Linked DNA regions of Xenopus tropicalis. The protein of the gene in region 2 interacts with the protein of the main gene of each other region in a pairwise test. Links are inferred from orthologs where the notes say so. Each region holds a gene or a part of one and is shown on either strand. Other genes may lie near its edges.

What was found.
Region 1: the proteins of cdc73 (region 2) and hsf2bp interact in binary tests that used the Homo sapiens proteins (3 or more experiments, as listed by UniProt). The link is inferred for Xenopus tropicalis from reciprocal best matches to the Homo sapiens genes CDC73 and HSF2BP.
Region 3: the proteins of cdc73 (region 2) and tsga10 interact in binary tests that used the Homo sapiens proteins (3 or more experiments, as listed by UniProt). The two-hybrid records come from large-scale screens. The link is inferred for Xenopus tropicalis from reciprocal best matches to the Homo sapiens genes CDC73 and TSGA10.

What each region holds. Positions count from the first base shown.
Region 1 is NC_030678.2:1,553,776-1,557,431, forward strand, and holds part of hsf2bp (heat shock factor 2-binding protein), read right to left. Parts: intron 667-3,656; 5' UTR 637-666; coding exon 483-636; intron 1-482. UniProt on the Homo sapiens protein: Meiotic recombination factor component of recombination bridges involved in meiotic double-strand break repair.
Region 2 is NC_030680.2:113,579,898-113,584,247, reverse strand, and holds the start of cdc73 (parafibromin), read left to right. Parts: upstream 1-1,405; 5' UTR 1,406-1,415; coding exon 1,416-1,546; intron 1,547-4,350.
Region 3 is NC_030678.2:112,861,949-112,865,604, forward strand, and holds part of tsga10 (testis-specific gene 10 protein), read left to right. Parts: intron 1-84; coding exon 85-270; intron 271-1,030; coding exon 1,031-1,240; intron 1,241-3,283; coding exon 3,284-3,486; intron 3,487-3,656. UniProt on the Homo sapiens protein: Plays a role in spermatogenesis. When overexpressed, prevents nuclear localization of HIF1A.

The DNA.
Region 1 (3,656 bases), on a different chromosome or scaffold from region 2:
TGGGAATGGGATAGGGACCTTAGAGTGTAAGCTCACTGGGGCAGGGGCTGATGGGAATGGGATAGGGACCTTAGATTGTAAGCTCACTGGGGCAGGGGCTGATGGGAATGGGATAGGGACCTTAGATTGTAAGCTCACTGGGGCAGGGGCTGATGGGAATGGGATAGGGACCTTAGATTGTAAGCTCACTGGGGCAGGGGCTGATGGGAATGGGTTAGGGACCTTAGATTGTAAGCTCACTGGGGCAGGGGCTGATGGGAATGGGATAGGGACCTTAGATTGTAAGCTCACTGGGGCAGGGGCTGATGGGAATGGGATAGGGACCTTAGATTGTAAGCTCACTGGGGCAGGGGCTGATGGGAATGGGATAGGGACCTTAGATTGTAAGCTCACTGGGGCAGGGGCTGATGGGAATGGGATAGGGACCTTAGATTGTAAGCTCACTGGGGCAGGGGCTGATGGGAATGGGATAGGGGTCTCACCAGTCTCTGCCTGCTCAAGTCTCTGCACTATTTCCACCAATTCCGGGTTTAAGATCTTGGGCAGAAAGTCCTTCATCTGCATCACCTCCGTCGTCAGGCGCTCCAAGTCCCGCCTCCTGATGCGAATAAACTCTGCCCCAGAGGAGCCGGCCATCACGTCAGGCAGCCAATCACAAAGCAGCACCTGGGAAGGATCATACAACCTCCAATCAGATGAGCAACATATGTGCCCTGACCCTCTCTGTCCCACTAGCACCCACGTAGGGTCAATAGCTCACATGGGGTGGTGCATCTAGGGGCCCCCAACCAACCTGAAGAGCCCCGCCCCCAATCTGCCCAAATCCCTCCTCTTCCTGTAGCCTCAGGGTTGTATGAGCAGCTGGTGTTGCCCCAGGTAAGTGTTCAGGGGGAGGCTGGGGGGGTATTGCTTTTAACTGTTTTTTTTCTCACGTAGGCTCCAAAGGGCCACCCCCTAAAGGTGCTTCCCTAGGCGCAGGCACCTGTATGGTTAATACGGCCCTTGTGGCCACACCCCTACATACCACACCCCAGATGTGCCGGTACAATCACTAAATAAAAGGAATAAAGGGCATATTAACCCTAGGCGTGCCGGTATAATCACTAAATAAAAGGAATAAAGGGCGTATTAAAGGTGGCCATACACGAGCAGATCCGCTCGCTTGGCGATGTCGCCAAGCGAGCGGATCTTCCCCCGATATCCCCACCTACGGGTGGGCGATATCGGGGACCATTTAGGTAAAAAAAATAATAATCCGATCGTTTGGCCCTGGGGCCAGACGATCGGATTATGTGGGCGGCAATGGGGCAGTCGGATCGGGGACCGCATCAACGAGCCGATGCGGTCCCCGATCCGACCAGATTTTCTAACCTGGCCGATCGAGATCTGGCCAATTTCAGGCCAGATATCGGTCGGCCAGGCCGCTCTGCTCCCCCCATACACGGGCCGATTAGCTGCCGAATCGGTCCAAGGGACCCATATCAGCAGCTATAGTCGGCCCGTGTATGGCCAGCTTAACCCTAGGCGTGCGGGTACAATCACTAAATAAAAGGAATAAAGGGCATATTAACCCTAGGTGTGCCGGTACAATCACTAAATAAAAGGAATAAAGGGCATATTAACCCTAGGTGTGCCGGTACAATCACTAAATAAAAGGAATAAAGGGCATATTAACCCTAGGCGTGCCGGTATAATCACTAAATACGATGAATAAAGGGCATATTAACCCCAGATGTGCCGGTACAATCACTAAATAAAAGGAATAAAGGGCGTATTAACCCTAGGCGTACCGGTATAACCACTAAATACGATGAATAAAGGGCATATTAACCCTAGGCGTGCCGGTATAATCACTAAATACGATGAATAAAGGGCATATTAACCCTAGGCATGCCGGTATAACCACTAAATACAATGAATAAAGGGCATATTAACCCTAGGCATGCCGGTATAATCACTAAATACAATGAATAAAGGGCATATTAACCCTAGGCGTGCCGGTATAATCACTAAATACAACGAATAAAGGGCATATTAACCCTAGGCGTACCGGTATAATCACTAAATACAATGAATAAAGGGCATATTAACCCTAGGCATGCCGGTATACCCACTAAGTACAATGAATAAAGGGCATATTAACCCTAGGCATGCCGGTATAATCACTAAATACAATGAATAAAGGGCATATTAACCCTAGGCGTGCCGGTATAATCACTAAATACAATGAATAAAGGGCATATTAACCCTAGGCATGCCGGTATACCCACTAAGTACAATGAATAAAGGGCATAGTAACCCTAGGCATGCCGGTATAACCACTAAGTACAATGAATAAAGGGCATATTAACCCTTGGCGTGCCGGTATAATCACTAAATACAATGAATAAAGGGCATATTAACCCTAGGCGTGCCGGTATAATCACTAAGTACAATGAATAAAGGGCATATTAACCCTAGGCGTGCCGGTATAATCACTAAATACAATGAATAAAGGGCATATTAACCCTAGGCGTGCCGGTATAATCACTAAATACAATGAATAAAGGGCATATTAACCCTAGACATGCCGGTATAACCACTAAATACAATGAATAAAGGGCATATTAACCCTAGGCGTGCCGGTATAACCACTAAATACAATGAATAAAGGGCATATTAACCCTAGACATGCCGGTATAATCACTAAATACAATGAATAAAGGGCATATTAACCCTAGGCATGCCAGTATAATCACTAAGTACAATGAATAAAGGGCATATTAACCCTAGGCGTGCCGGTATAATCACTAAATACAATGAATAAAGGGCATATTAACCCTAGGCATGCCAGTATAATCACTTAGTACAATGAATAAAGGGCATATTAACCCTAGGCGTGCCGGTATAATCACTAAATACAATGAATAAAGGGCATATTAAACCTAGGCGTGCCGGTATAACCACTAAATACAATGAAAAAAGGGCATAGTAACCCTAGGCGTGCCGGTATAATCACTAAACACAAGGAATAAAGGGCATATTAACCCTAGACATGCCGGTATAATCCCTAAATACAATGAATAAAGGGCATATTAACCCTAGGCGTGCCGGTATAATCACTAAATACAATGAATAAAGGGCATATTAACCCTAGTCATGCCGGTATAATCACTAAATACAATGAATAAAGGGCATATTAACCCTAGGCGTGCCGGTATAATCACTAAGTACAATGAATAAAGGGCATATTAACCCTAGACATGCAGGTATAATCACTAAATACAATGAATAAAGGGCATATTAACCCTAGACATGCCGGTATAATCACTAAATACAATGAATAAAGGGCATATTAACCCTAGGCATGCCAGTATAATCACTAAGTTACATGAATAAAGGACATATTAACCCTAGACATGCCGGTATAATCACTAAATACAATGAATAAAGGGCATATTAACCCTTGGCGTGCCGGTATAATCACTAAATACAATGAATAAAGGGCATATTAACCCTAGGCATGCCAGTATAATCACTAAGTTACATGAATAAAGGACATATTAACCCTAGACATGCCGGTATAATCACTAAATACAATGAATAAAGGGCATATTAACCCTTGGCGTGCCGGTATAATCACTAAATACAATGAATAAAGGGCATATTAACCCTAG
Region 2 (4,350 bases):
TTGGGCGCAGCGCCTATAACATGGCCTTTACTTCCTTGTTTACGCATACTCACTCAGTAGAGCAGGTACACAACCTCTTTTACCTATGAGTCACATTCAAATATAAAAAGAGTTGGGGAGCAACACAAGCATGAAAAATGTACTTGGGGATAGCAAATAAGGGCTGTGACTGGTTATTTGGTAGCCCCTATGTAGACTGACAGCCTCCAAGTCAGGAATTAAAAAATAAGCACCTGCTTTGAGGACACTGGGAGCAACATCCAAGGGGTTTGGGAGCAACATGTTGCTCAGGAGCCACTGGTTGGGGAACACTGCAGTAGAGGATCCAGAAAGTATGTAGGGGTGTTCTCTGAAGCCATGTATTGTATGGCATGAAACAATTGTACAAGAAACTGTAATTATATCTACAGGACTGGATTTCTCTTTAGGCACTCAGAGGCTAGCATCCTCAGCTTCCCCCCACCCCTCCCACAGGGTCGCGTCCTACATCTGGCGCACAGGGGACAGGGTGCATGGAAACCTCCCGTGCATAATCCCCAGTGCCCTGCATGTAAGTAAACTTCATGTGTGGCTTGGGCGGCATGCCGGCCCTGAATGTGTGCTGCCCTAGGCCTAATCTTCATGGCCTTGCCACAAATACCGGCCTGTATATCTACAAACATGAAGTTCTACCTTTAATTGTCCTTAAAAACTTGCAGTAAGATGATCAAATAGGTTAAATAATTGATTGATCTTAATTTGTTCTGTTGTGGTGGGAATATAAAACAACAGTACATCACCCCATACCAGCTGCCATTCTCTTGCTATGCACATTTCTATAAATATAATTTTTAGTCATTTTGCACATCCCTACCCTAATTGCTATATCTTTTGCACATCCCATACTCCTAGGCATAAAAAGTATATACATGGAAATAAGGTGCAATTGTTAAATAAGAATTTCATTTTAAAAAGAATGATTTTCTTTTTTTAATGTGCCCTTGTTGATCAAATAATACTTCTATTTTGCTTTTACCCCCAGATTTTACCCATTGCACCCAATAATACTGGAGGCCCAAAACAAATACACCGTTTGGTTTTCACAAACTGGCAGAGTTGTTTACACTACCTAGTTACCAATACCTACAGACGGGCATACCAACATGCAAGAGATGGATTGCTTTTGCGCATGCGTATGGCCTGCATTCTGAGCAGGCATTTCCTGGGACACCTCTCGCGTTTGCGTCCTTGTTGTAGATGGTTCCGGCTCGCTTGGCTCTTTGGTCCTGTGTGAGATCTGAGCAGGCATTACATAGGGCAGCTTGGCCCTCCTGGGTCCTTGCTGTTGTCGGAACAGGCTTTCGCTTAAGCAACACCACCAGTAGGTTGTACGCATCCTCGGGAGTAGTGAGGAGGCGGAGGAGGAGAAGAAGAAGATGGCGGACGTGCTGAGCGTTCTGCGTCAGTACAACATCCAAAAGAAGGAGATCAATGTGAAAGGAGATGAGGTTATCTTCGGGGAGTTCTCCTGGCCCAAGAATGTTAAGACCAACTATGTCATTTGGGGGTGAGTATGGCGCAGAAGCGGGGAGCAATCGCTGTCATTCTGTCCTTCCCCTGTTTGGGTGCTCACTAGGCATGTGCAACACACACACACACATACACACACACACACACACACACACACACACACACACACACACACACACTGCACTGGCCCCGGGCCAAGCACAGACAGATTTATCCAGGTAACTCCAACCTGTAACTCGTGGTGCCTGTGCAACTACAGCTCCCAGCATCCCCAAATTCTGTCGAAGTTTTGAGGGACTGTGGCAGCTGCCGTTTATGAGCAAAAGTAGAATCCCACCCATAGGAGTTCGGCATAGGTTTCTGTAGCGCCCAACTCGGCAGCGATCACTGTACTACAACTCCCAGAATCCCAGGACAACCTTATTCTGCCCAAGTGCTGCTGAGAGCTGCACAAAGTCCCTGAAATCACTACTGACTATATGTGTATGGCACACTCTCCCCACTTGGGCAAATAGACTCCTGGCATTGCCTCTTATTTATATCGTTACATTACTATTCACACATGCTGTACATCCATACCTTCCTCCTCTTACTATCTGTGTCTGTATGTATCCATTGTGACTAAATGTGCCTCCCCACAACTTACTGAACTACAAATCCCAGCAAGTGTAAAGCTTTAATAGATGCTTAGGATTGTGGGAGCTTTAGTCAGGCAGCATCTCTGGCCTGCACACATAGTATTTATGCTTTCATGTTTGCATAGAAAGGTAACATCAGAAGGATACAGTTACACAATAGTATTATTTTTATGTATGTAAAAGTAATGAGATTTTGAAAAGCTGTACAGGTGCTTTTTTCATGCAAGTTAGTCCTCCCCAGCCCAGATTAAAGGGGAAGTTCACATTATCAAAAACATAGTCCTTTTGTGTAGTTAGGATAATTTTTAGGTATTTGGGAATTGGAAAAGGCGAATTTACTCATGGATGCCAATATGTGAGGCACCCATCAGGGAATTAAAGCCCTACTTTTTTTTTACCTTGGAGAAAGAGCACAACACAATGCAGCCACCTACCCTGACCCAGGTGTCCCAAGCACAGATTTAAACAAGAACTCAAAAATTAATATATATAGAAATGCTTTATTTTATTTTTTTTTTAAACATCTTTTTATTGGTGACTATAAAGGCAATACATGCTACAGGCAGTACGATTCCTTATAGCACTTTTCAAATAGATATAATTTAAAATGTCATACTTTATATATTGAACTTATTGAACACCCCTAAAGGGTTAGCGTTTCTGTAGTAGTAGTTATTATTGAGGACTTCAAAATTGTGCACAGGAGCTCCCAATTTTAGATTGTTAGAAGTGTCAGTAACACTGCACATACTCTGTGTTCTCAGAGCAGCTGTTCTGTTGATAAGCTAAGCTTAGTGGTTGTTACAAATTTTTGAGCAGAAAATGTGTTTTGCCTGTCATAGAAGCTGATGCTGCAGGGTTGATTATTACATACTGATGCACATTGCACTGGTATCAGAGCTGCCCTGTACTAATAATCTGTATTATTGTGACATTTATACTGTGTACATGCACTGTTTTGTAAGTTAGTTCAGCACAGAGCATGTGCAGTGCGTCAGCAGAAGGAAGATGGGGAGCTACTGTAGGTATATTTCGGGGGACAGATCCTCCAAGCTGAATGGCTGTTGTTGCCTTGTGTTGGTACAGAAGCACAAAACATAATGTGCTGCATTTCTGCTCTACTTCTCAAACTTTAGTTCTCCTTTAAGCCCATGCAAGTGCAGTGGAGCACAATTAAAAACTTTTACTCTGTTGTACAGGTATGGGACCCGTTATCCAGAATGCTCAGGACCTGGGGTTTTTCCGTAATTTGCATCCTCATATTTTACTTAAAAATCATTTATAAATTAAATTAAGCCAATTGGATTGTTTTGCCTCCATTAAGGATAAATTATCTTAGTTGGGATCAAGTACAAGAAACAGAGCAAAAGGAAATATAAAATTTTTAAAATGTAAGTTCTTTCCTTAAAATGGAGTTGATGGGAGATGGCCTTTCCGTATAACTGGTTTCCAGATAATGGGTCCATACCTGAACATTTCAAAGGCTATGTCTGAAGAGGGACAGCTGGGAAATGCTGGTAACCTGGCTGTGTTGCTGCATTACTTTTTCCCCCTGGCTGGTTTTATTTTATTTTTTCCTAAAAAGAGCATGGATGGAAAGTATGGGTCAGGGACCCCCCCTTCCCACATGGATTGGATAGAGGCGTACTTGAATAAACACAAAGCAGTCAAAAACATTTTTGAAACATGGGAATCTTTTATTAGTATAATTCCACATGCACTGAAAGTTAAAATACTGCTTTAAAACTACCAATTGGTATATAACAGACTCTGAGAGGTAACCCACCTATACAATTAGAAACAGAAAGAGAGGTTAAGGCTGATGCCACACGTGGCGGTTTTACGCTGCGTATTTTCTAATTCTCTCGGCGGTTGAAAAACGCACAATATCATCATCCATAGAAATAACTTAAACAGTCTCGATGCTAGAAATACGCTAGAAAACGTGTCACCACGGAATTTTCATGCGTTTGCCGAAATACGCCGTTATTTGCACAGCAACCTATTCCTTTGTGTACACAAAAGCAGCTGCCAGACCTTGAGGAAATATGCAGCGTTTTTACTATTTCGCACTATTAGCACCATGGGAAACGGGATTTGCTACGTCACCAGTACTAGGCTGAAAAACGCCATAGTCAGGGGCTGTGTGGGTTGTGCAGCGTTTTTAGGCGGAGAAAATACGCAGTGTAAAAAAGCCACGTCT
Region 3 (3,656 bases), on a different chromosome or scaffold from region 2:
TTTCTCTTTCACGTACTCTTGCAGCCAACTGATTTTATATTTATTTCCACTTTAAATTCTACATTTCTACCCTATGTTGTATAGGAAAAGGAGTATCGAGATCTTTTAGAAAACTATCGTAGAGCATCTGCCCAGTCAGAAAGTTGGGAGAATAAGTTCCACCAAATGGAAAGTGAAAGTAGCTCTGCCAAACTGGACCTCATGGGTAAAGAATCCGAATGCAGATTATTGAAAGAAAGAGTAGAATCGCTTGAAAAAGAGATTGAGCAAGTAAGCAAACTAAATATATTACTGTGGCTAAGTTATACAGATCAGTTGACAGAAAGTGACAAATAAACGCTGCTTTCAATTGCAATATTTTCTTTTATTAGGCAAAAAATTATTTTTGGGGTTGACATGTCCTTTAATACAACACTCAAATCTTAGAAAACATATTTTGTCTTTCAAAAGGTATATAGTTTCCAAGGTAAAACAAAGGTTTACCTCAAGAAGCATCTCTGAAGCAAAAAAGCAGGAAATGTTAAAAAACCTTGGTGTTTCATGCCATTTTCTAGAGGGGTTGAGAAGGGTAAATGCATACTTTGATATTGTGTATATATTCCCCTTTGGACATAGATATTCTGAATAAAGTGTAGTTACATTCTATTGATTTATAATAATAACAACCAAATGATATACTGAGAAAATTAGATTGATATTTGAGGGCAGAGAACATTCCTTGGTTCTGCTGAAGGACAAATATAAAAGTTACACAATCTCAACCCTTAAGTATAAAGGAGAGGAACAAAATATTTGTAGGATGAGAAGTGGAATGTGCTTATGCAAGAAAAAAAGAATTACCATAGCTCTTTGCCATTTTGTGTATCATAGGGAGACAGAGATAAAAACTAGACACTATTTTCAATATTCACATAAATGAAAATATTTTTGTTGCCTCATTACCACATTTGATGCTTAATATACATTCACTGAATTATTAGGAATTCTTGCATTATACTGAGCAAATGTATACTGCATTGTGTGTTTGCAGTATATAACCTCTGAACAGTCCCATAAGTCCCAGATGTCTAACTTGGCCAAATCTGTTACACGGGTGGAAGAAGAGCTTCGCCAGGCTAAGGCTGAGAAAGTTACAATTCTTGAAGACTTGGCATCTACAAGGGAGCTTTGTGTTAAGCTGGACACAAGCAAAGAAGTTATTAACCGCCATCTTTGTGCTAGAAACCAAGATATTGAGAGGGTATGTATGTAAAAGTGAGTCTCTTTCTCTGTAAGAATGCAAATATAATGGTTTCTGAAAACTTTGCTTGCAGACCATATAGTTATATATATATTGTGAGAGATGCAATGGGAAAGGTCATTATTTGTTGTATTTCCACCAGTGTTTAAGGTGGAATACAAATGGCACCAGGTAAATTACCTGGTTTTACAGCAGGTAATGCTGTGTTGGAGTAAATCTCCCTTTAAGCTTTTGATTTGGCCAGCTGTAGGGAGCTGCCTGATTAGGCTGCAGGTGAGCAGCCAATAAAAGGGCTGTATGATTTACAGAGAGGGTGGGGAATTGGAATTGAACCTTGACTGAGTGAAGGTCACTCTCAGAGCAGGGCACAGGGCAGGAGGGCTGCCTGTGTCAGGGACTCCCAGAGGAGCTGGGGGTGCCACCTGCCACTGCAGGGAGCAGAGGGAGTTATGACCCGATGGATGAGTGCTGAGAGGGCTCAGCAAGGTAATGTGAAGCCTGAGTGTTCCAGAGAGTGGAACTAACCCTGGAAGGTGAGAACCCTGAAGAAGGGACATATCACAACCCTGAACTGTGTGTTGATGAACTGTCTTATGTTTCTGTTGGGAAGAACTTGCCCTAAATAAACCTGCTCCAGATCCTCTGCATGCCTGCCTGCCTACCATTGCTAATTCCCCCAAAATTGCATGTACAGGCAGTCAGCATGTCACAGTATATATACATACAAACGTACACACTCATTAGATAAATGTAGGCTTACCCATTTTACTTTTACGTTTTTTTGTGGAAACGCAAAAAACGGTGTAACATGAGGGTAAATTTAAAATCTGGGTATGTAAAATTGAGGTGTCACTGTATATGAAATCACAGATATCTTGCATATATGAAACATCTTTTTATTGTTTCTTTATATGATTTTTGTTAGTTTGATTCTGAGGTACTTATTACAATGCTTTAGTAGCTCCACTAATATCTAAGGTAGTAAGTAAGCATTCAGCCTTAAATTTCAAACAGCAGGGCTTCATTATTTGCCTCCTATAGCTACTTCACAGTTTAGCAACATTTTGTCCAAGGAATACATAACCCAGATAAATCACCATAAGGATAATGGCACATGGCAAGTTTTGTTGCCCATGGGTAAATATATGCCAACGTGGGCATCAGATCTGAAAATTCCCTCCCCTTTGCTAACATTAAATTAAATTATTTGCAGTGATTTGGCTTATTCACAAGAAAATGCCAATGGAAGGCATTTCCCCACCAATAAGCAGAATTGCTTGCTGGGAGATTTGTTGCCAGTAGTAGCACAGACTTTACCACAAGAGACAAATCTTACACAGAAAGGCATACCATGTGGGCAAATGTCTATTAAAAGGCCATTACAGTACACACAACATTGAAAAATAACCATAACTACAACATTCTCCACAGCTATATAAGCAAGTCAAAGGGCCTGATCTATGATTGCATGAGTCTTCGGGCTCGAGCAATCATAAAGGAAACCACACAGGGCCCTAGACACATATTCAAAAAAAAATCTCTGCTCTAAAAAACATCTAACATTAAATTCACATTCTGAGTTGGTGAGGAGTCTGCCCAGACAGAAATGGATAATCTACTGTCAAAACAATTGTGTCACATAACATAAATAGCAAAAGACTGGTCTCAGTATTATTAATACTTACATTATTATTCCCTAGAGATAATATATGCTTGTCATTCTTGAGCTTGTCTTGTCAGGCAAGATCACATAGAGTTAACTCCCCTCTCCCCATGATTTGTATATTCTAAACGGCACTATGGCAGGTGATTCACACTGTTGTTTAACCAAGTCACATGGTGGAAAAGCACTTGTCTTATAAGTATTTTGTTTGTAATATTTTATACACAAGCAAACTTTTGTTAGACATGAATGGTAAAATAGATTTCTTAAATATCTTTTTTTAGAACTGAATCTGTGGCAAAAAATATTTATTGGTTTCACACTGTATTAAATCTAACACATCTAGTTCCTTATATTAAACATTGGTCTGTGAATTTTAGTTTCAGGATGAATTAGAATCATCACGCTCAGATATTGAACTTCTCAGAAAGCAACTTGCCAGTGAAAGAATTTCAGTAAAGAATTTGGAGGCATTGCTGGTGTCTAACCAAGAAAAGGAATTCCAGTCCCAAGTACATGCCCAAGATCTGGACTCAGAGCTTCAGCTTCTTGGAGACAAACTGGCCTTGGCAGAAACCAAACTGTAAGTTAGTGTTTATAACCATTTGTACAGTACTTGCCACAGTATTACCTTCTGAGTTATAAGCCATTATCCTATAAAACAATACTTATTTATAAAACATAACTTGCATTTTGTTTTAGAATAGACAAAATGGACCGAACAAAGCAAAAATATTTGCTTTGTTCTTATAT